2 linked regions of the Anolis sagrei genome follow. The protein of the gene in region 2 purifies or fractionates together with the protein of the main gene of each other region. This does not show direct contact. Links are inferred from orthologs where the notes say so. Each region holds a gene or a part of one and is shown on either strand. Other genes may lie near its edges.

Region 1 (3,751 bases), on a different chromosome or scaffold from region 2:
TTGTCTTGACTGTTCTAATGTAGCACAAATCCTATGTAAAATCATACTATGTATTTTTGACATTAATATTGAAATCTGAAATATATACCGAAAGTCTTGACACGACAAAAAAAATATTATCATAGAATCATAGAATCAAAGAGTTGGAAGAGACCTCATGGGCCAACCCCCTGCCAAGAAGCAGGAATATTGCATTCAAATCACCCCTGACAGATGGCCATCAAGCCTCTGTTTAAAAGCTTCCAAAGAAGGAGCCTCCATCACACTTCGGGGCAGAGAGTTCCACTGCTGAACGGCTCTCACAGTCAGGAAGTTCTTCCTCATGTTCAGATGGAATCTCTTCTCTTGTAGTTTGAAGCCTTTGTTCCTTGCCCTAGTCTCCAAGGAAGCAGAAAACAAGCTTGCTCCCTCCTCCCCGTGGCTTCCTCACATATTTATACATGGCTATCATATCCCCTCTCAGCCTTCTCTTCTTCAGGTTAAACATGCCCAGCTCCTTAAGCCGCTCCTCATAGGGCTTGTTCTCCAGATCCTTGATCATTTTAGTCACCCTCCTCTGGACACATTCCAGCTTGTCAATATCTCTCTTGAATTGTGGTGCCCAGAATTGGACACAATATTCCAGGTGTGGTCTAACCAAATAATATTATAATGTAATGCAATATAATACTAATCATAATAATAATATGATGGGCGTTCCACAGCTGAGGGGCCACTACTGAGAAGGCCCTGTCTTTCATCCCAGCGCCAGATGTACTTGTGACGCAGACGGGACCGAGAGCAGGGCCTCCCCAGGCGATCTTAACGTCCTAGTATCATATTATTATTATCATTAGTATTATATTGCATTACATTATAATATTAATATTATATGTATATAAATTATATTATATTATATTATATTATATTATATTATATTATATTATATTATTAGCATAGCACAGGAGACAAGGTGGAACTCTATGCACTCTTTACCTTCTTTTCCTTTCCTTTTCCCAGCAGTTCTTTCAAGGAAGTGAGGCTAAAGGACAAGGTCACCCACTGGGCTCCATGGCTGGAGAGAGACTTGAACCTTGGCCCAAGCAGTTAGTCATCCATGGCACTGGTTCTCAAGCTGTGGCCCTCCAGGTATTTTGGACTTCAACTCCCATAATCCCACGCCAGTGGCCACAATGGCTGAGGCTTCTGGGAGCTGAAGTCCAAACCTCTGGAGCACCAAAGGCCTCTGGAAGGCGAGGAACCTCCTACGAAGGAGAAGGAAATCATAGGCGATAGGAAGGAGGTTTCTATTGGCTGCGGCTGATCCTACTTCGCGTCCCTATTGGCTGCCTTTTGGAACCAATATCCTCCTCCCGTTCTGATTGGCTGTGACGCGCCGGGAGAGCAGGCGAAGGGAAGCAGCGGTGAAAGGAGCAGAGAGGGAAGAAAGATGGCGTTGCGGGTGTTTGCTGGGTTTTGGCTGTTCTTGCTTCTGGGCCTGGCGGCGGCGCAGACAGGACAGGTGCCCTTGCTGGCCTGGTCCAGCCACAGGTACGCGGGCCTCTGGACTACCTTGCAGGAATGAGACAGCAAAGGGCTGTCTGGAGTGCGTCTACACTGTAGAATTAACGCAGTTCGACACCGCTCCGTGCTGTGGGATGGTGGGAGTTGTCGTTTGGCGAGGCACTGAAGCCCTTCTCTCTGTACAGCATGCACTGGCTTGATTTTGGTGAAATGTTTACTTCATCTTGAATTAAATGGCGTTTTTCCATCATTGCTCCCAGGCCCCTTCTGCACTGCCATATAATCCAGATTATCAAAACAGATAATCCACATTATCTGCCTTGAACTTGATTATCTGAGTCTACACTGCCATATAATCCGGTTCAAAGCAAACAATTGGATTTTATATGTCAGTGTAGAAGGGGCCTCAGAGCTGAAGGGCAGCCCTTCTGGTTATGAAGGGCTATATTATTTACTAGCTGTCCCCTGCCACGCGTTGCTGTGACCCATTTTGTGTCTATGTGTTTTGTGTGTGTATATATGTGTGTGCAGTGGGTTAAACTGCTGAGCTGCTGAACTTCCTTACCAAATATTACAGGTTTGAATTCGGGAAGCAGGGTGAGCTCATGCTGTTAGCCCCAGCTTCTGTGAACTTGTATTGTCGAAGGCTTTCATGGCCGGAATCACTGGGTTGTTGTAGGTTTTTTCGGGCTGTATGGCCATGTTCTAGAGCAGGGGTCCTCAAACTAAGGCCCGGGGGCCAGATGCGGCCCTCCAAGGTCATTTACCCGGCTCTCGCTCAGGGTCAACCTAAGTCTGAAGCGACTTGAAAGCACATAACAACAACAACAATCCTATCTCATCAGCCAAAAGCAGGCCCACACTTCCCATTGAAATACTAATAGATTTATATTTGTTAACATTGTTCCTCATTTTAATTATTTTATTGTTTTTAAATGTTTTTTACATTACAAATAAGATATGTGCAGCGTGCACAGGAATTCATGTTTTATTTTTCAAATTATAATCCAGCCCTCCAACAGTTTGAGGGACTGTGACCTGGCCCTCTGCTTAAAAAGTTTGTGGACCCCTGGTCTAGAGGCATTCTCTCCTGATGTTTCGCCTGCATCTATGGCAAGCATCCTCAGAGGTAGTGAGGTCTGTTGGAACTAGGAAAAAGGGTTTATATATCTGTGGAATGACCAGGGTGAGACAAAGGACTCTTGTCTGCTGGAGCTAGGTGTGAATGTTTCAACTGACCACCTTGATTAGCATACAATGGGCTGACTGTGCCTGGAGCAACTTAGTTTGAAAACATGCAAATGTGAGTAGATCAGTAGGTACCACTCTGATGGGAAGGCAACAGCGCTCATGCTGGCCACATGACCTTGGAGGTGTCTACGGACCACGCCGGGTCTTCGGCTTGGAAATGAAGAGGAGCAGCACACCACAGAGTTTGACATGACTGGACTTAATGTCAGGGGAAAACCTTTACCTTATATATTTGTGGATATATGTGTATTTGCACATATGTGTGGTTTTGCACATGCATTTTGATGTTTTATATATATATTTGGCTTTTAAAGCCTTTTCTGCTGTGTTTTACAGTGTTTTTATGAGTGATGGTCACTCGTTGGCCTGATAGGTGTCAATTTTGTGTCAATTCGTCCAGTGGTTTTTGAGTTCTGTTAATCCCACAAACGAACATTACACTTTTATTTATATAGACTAGCCATCCCCTGCCACGCGTTGCTGTGGCCCAGTCTGGAAAATAAAGTAAAGTTTATATATCTGTGGAATGACCAGGGTGGGACAAAGGACTCTTGTCTGCTCTCACAACCACCATGTCAGACTACACAGAGAAGCCATTGAAATCCGCAAGCATGTGGACAATTTCAACAGAAAAGAGGAAACCATGAAAATGAACAAAATCTGGCTACCAGTATTAAAAAACTCTAAAATTACCACAGCAAAACAACAGAGAGTAAACAATCAGGCACATCTAATCACCTCTCAACAAAAGATTACCCCAGGCACTGCCAAGCCATCAAATGCTAATTAAGGTGGTCAGTTGAAACATTCACACCTAGCTCCAGCAGACAAGAGTCCTTTGTTCTATCCTGGTCATTCCACAGATCCATCTTATTAGGACGACTGACCACTGTAGTTTTATATTTAGTGTTTTTAAAGTTGTTTTGTAATTTGTGATATATGATATTTTAATGAATGTATATGTTTTTATGGCTCTCGATGAGGTTGAGAAGCTCGG
Region 2 (3,751 bases):
GGTGTGAGTTTTCCGGACTGTATGGCCATGTTCCAGAAGCATTCTCTCCTAACATTTCGCCCACATCTATGGCAGGCATCCTCAGAGGTGTCAGGTCTGTTGGAAACTAGGCAAGTGAGGTTTATCTATCTGTGGCATGTCCAGAGTGGGAAAAAGAACTCTTCTCTGTTTGAGGCAAGTGTGAATGCCACAATGATTAGCATCAAATGGCCTTGCAGCTCCAAAGCCTGGCTGGTTGCAGCCTGGGGGACTTCTTTGATGGGAGGTGTTAGCTGGCCCTGATTGATTCTTGTCTGGAATTCCCCTGTTTTTGAGTGTTGCTTTTTATTTACTGTCCTGATTTTAGAGGTTTTTTAAAAAAATAATAATACTGGTAGCCAGATTTTGTTCAATTTCATGGTTTCCTCCTTTCTGTTGAAATTGTCCACATGCAAAAAACAGGAGAATTCCAGACAGAGCCATCAGGGCCAGCTAACACCTCACAAAAAAGGATCCCCCCAGGCAGCAACCAGCCAGGCTTTGAAGCGGCTTGGCTATTAAATCCAAGGCAAGGTGGCCAATTGCAACATTCACACTTGCCTCAAACAGACAAGTTTTTTTCTCCCATCTTGGACATTCCAAAGATACATAAACCTCACTTGCCTAGTATCCAACAGACCCCACAACCTCTGAGTATGTCTGCCATAGATGTGGGTGAAACATCAGGAGGGAAAGCTTCTGGAACATGGCCACACAGCCTGGAAAACTCACAGCAACACAGTGATTCCAGCCATGAAAGCCTTCAACAACTCTACCACACTGTTAAGTTCTGATTTTCCACTAGAAGAGGTATCCGCATTGTTGCCTCTGTGAAGGCAGAGGAAAAACACAAACACACAAGAACAAGGAAGGGTAGGATTTCAATAGGCATTCAAGCTTTCAGTAGCTGTTTTGCCTGGGGTGGGTGGGGGTTTACCTGAGGAACTAACACTTCTATATATCCCACTTTTGCAACAACTTGGCTGATCAGGAACTTAACCTATCCTTTGCAACATCTTATACTGGAAGAGGAACAGAGAATATGAATGCAGAGTTAACAGATATGAGGGAAATGTCTTTAGAGTGTATGAGGTTGGTTGCAGACACCAGCTAAAGAAAATCCTATGTAAAAACTTAATTGTGCTCCCTATAAAATATCATGCCATGTAATATAATTGTATTAAGTTGTGAAGTGGCCATAAGACTTTGGTAGTATCTGCTGTTGCACACCTTGGACATTCCAATCAGGGTTTGTTTACTGGAGGCTCTTTGGAAATGACCGCATCTCCTTTTACGAACCTACATGATCCCTTCGATCTTCCGGAGAGGCCCTTCTCTCACTCCCGCCCTCATTGCAAGTGCGACTTGTGAGGACGAGGGAGAGGGCCTTCTACGTGGTGGCCCCTTGGCACTGGAACTCACTCCCCAGAGAAATTAGGCAAGCCCCCACCCTGGCTGTCTTTAGGAAGAGTCTGAAAACTTGGCTATTCCAGTGTGCCTTCAGTCTTTGATCTTGACCAAACCCTGCATAAAATATCCTCAGAAGCACTTTACTCTATCTTCTAGTGCAATTAAACCTTACTTTTGTCCCTCTGTTCCTCTGTCTTGATACATTACATGGCCTGCTTACCCAGTGTTTTAATCTTTTAATCCGTCCTGCTCAATTACTGTGGTTTTATATTGTTTGGTGTGTTCATTTATATTGTTTTTGTTTTTATTTTCATTGTATTTTACTGTTTGCATCTTATGTTGTATATTTGCTGTATTGTTGGGCTTGGCCTCGTGTAAGCCGCCGTGTCCCCTTGGAGAGATGGTGGTGGGGTATAAATAAAATGTTATTATTATTATTATTATTATTATTATTATTTTGAAACACATCCTGATGAGTCCACAGCAGACACTCTGCTGGCTGTTGTATTGGATCACATGTCGGACACTTCCCAAGTTTGTTTGTTTTTTGTTGTATCAGGAGCGACTTGAGAAACTGCAAGTCGCTTCTGGTGTGAGAGAATTGGCCATCTGTAAGGACGTTGCCCAGGGGACGCCTGGATGATTTGGTGCTTTTTATCATCCTTGTGGGAGGCATCTCTCATGTCCCCACATGAGGAGCTGGAGTTGATAGAGGGAGCTCATCCACCTCTCCCCGGATTTGAACCTGCAACCTGTTGGTCTTCAGTCCTGCCGGCACAGGGGTTTAACCCACTGCGCCACCATGGGCTCCTACTTCCTAAGTATCTAGGACTGTGTGATGTATCGGCGAATAATGTGTGCAGATCCTAGTAACGTGGCCTTCTGCAGCTGGCAGATGGTAATCTTGTCAGCACTGATTGTGTTTAAGTGCAGGCCAAGGTCTTTAGGCACTGCACCCAGTGTGCCAATCACCACTGGCACCACCTTGACTGGCTTGTACCAGAGTCTTTGCAGTTCGATCTTTAAATCCTCATATCAGCTTTTCCAGTTGTTTCTCTTCAATCCTGCTGTCATCTGGGATATTATTGTTGTTATTATTATCATCATTATTAAATGGAGAAATGAGAGGGAAAGCAGTTCTTTCCTATCCAAAAGCTCTTACATTAACTACCTGCGGACAAGTCAGGGGAAGATAACACCTGACAGTTCATTAATTCCCAATGTCCTTCGAAAACACCTCCCCAAGTTTGCTTCCTCTCGCATGGGTCCCAAGGCCGGTGGGAGCCCTCCGTGTGGCCTAGGCCCCAGAATGCCTTGGAGCAACCTCCTCCTCTCCGGCAGCGGGCCATTCAGCGAGGCAGACTCCCGAAGCCTTACCTGCCACAAGCGCCGAGACCAGCCATAGGCCCAGGCTGCTCCACTGCCGCCCCATCCTTCCCAGTCGTCGCTTCCTCAATGAACTCGAGACCTCAGAAAGAGGAAGTATCAACCAGCTGGTCCCGAGGCCCAAGCCAACGCCCACTTCTGACACTAACTGACTGCACTCTTAGCCAATCAAAAGCGTACATCTCGAAACCAGGTGGAGTTATGGTGTGAATGACAAAGCCGAGTGACCAATAGAAAAGCACTAAATAAAAACCCGCCCATCGACTTTCCTTCTGGGGATCACGGGATACCACGGGACTTTAGGGTGAAGCTTCAGCTTGAGTGACAGCAACATTAGCCATTCACGATTCGGCTCTTCCTCCAAACTATACCTATAGGAAAACGGAGGGCGTGCACAAAATGTGAGGGCGCTCGACGTCCGAAGGGCGGGTCTATCTCCATTGAGTGACAGGAAATCTAACCACTTAGAATTAGAGGCGGAAGTTTCCCGATGGGATTGACAGGGCGGTTGGCCAATGAAAGCCTGAAGGATCCCGAAGGCGACCAAGGCCAATGAGATAGAATCATAGAATCATAGAGTTGGAAGAGACCTCATGGGCCATCCAGTCCAACCCCATTCTGCCAAGAAGCAGGAATATTGCATTCAGAGCACCCCTGACAGATGGCCATCTAGCCTCTGTTTAAAAACCTCCAAAGAAGGAGCCTCTACCACACTCCGGGGCAGAGAGTTCCACTGCTGAACGGCTCTCACAGTCAGGAAGTTCCTCATGTTCAGATTGCTGAGAGGAGGCAGTCGGAACTGGCATACAATGGGAGCTGCTGTGTGACGGCCAGGGTTTGAAGTATCGCTTTTCCGCACTATAAGTCCCAGAAGAACGAGAAGTGGAGGGCGGTGCATTTATATGAGAATATTTGTGAATGACTTGCCTCTGGCCAT

What was found. Proteins that work in one complex are often made in the same cells at the same time.
Region 1: the proteins of ATP6AP2 (region 2) and ATP6AP1 purify together in Homo sapiens (affinity purification with mass spectrometry; 5 studies listed by BioGRID and IntAct, counting the BioPlex papers as one, with this or other methods). This does not show direct contact. The link is inferred for Anolis sagrei from reciprocal best matches to the Homo sapiens genes ATP6AP2 and ATP6AP1.

The regions. Positions count from the first base shown.
Region 1 is NC_090022.1:174,429,434-174,433,184, reverse strand, and holds the start of ATP6AP1 (V-type proton ATPase subunit S1), read left to right. Parts: upstream 1-1,366; 5' UTR 1,367-1,429; coding exon 1,430-1,530; intron 1,531-3,751. UniProt on the Homo sapiens protein: Accessory subunit of the proton-transporting vacuolar (V)-ATPase protein pump, which is required for luminal acidification of secretory vesicles.
Region 2 is NC_090023.1:78,451,649-78,455,399, forward strand, and holds the start of ATP6AP2 (renin receptor), read right to left. Parts: upstream 2,955-3,751; 5' UTR 2,861-2,954; coding exon 2,806-2,860; intron 1-2,805. UniProt on the Homo sapiens protein: Multifunctional protein which functions as a renin, prorenin cellular receptor and is involved in the assembly of the lysosomal proton-transporting V-type ATPase (V-ATPase) and the acidification of the endo-lysosomal system.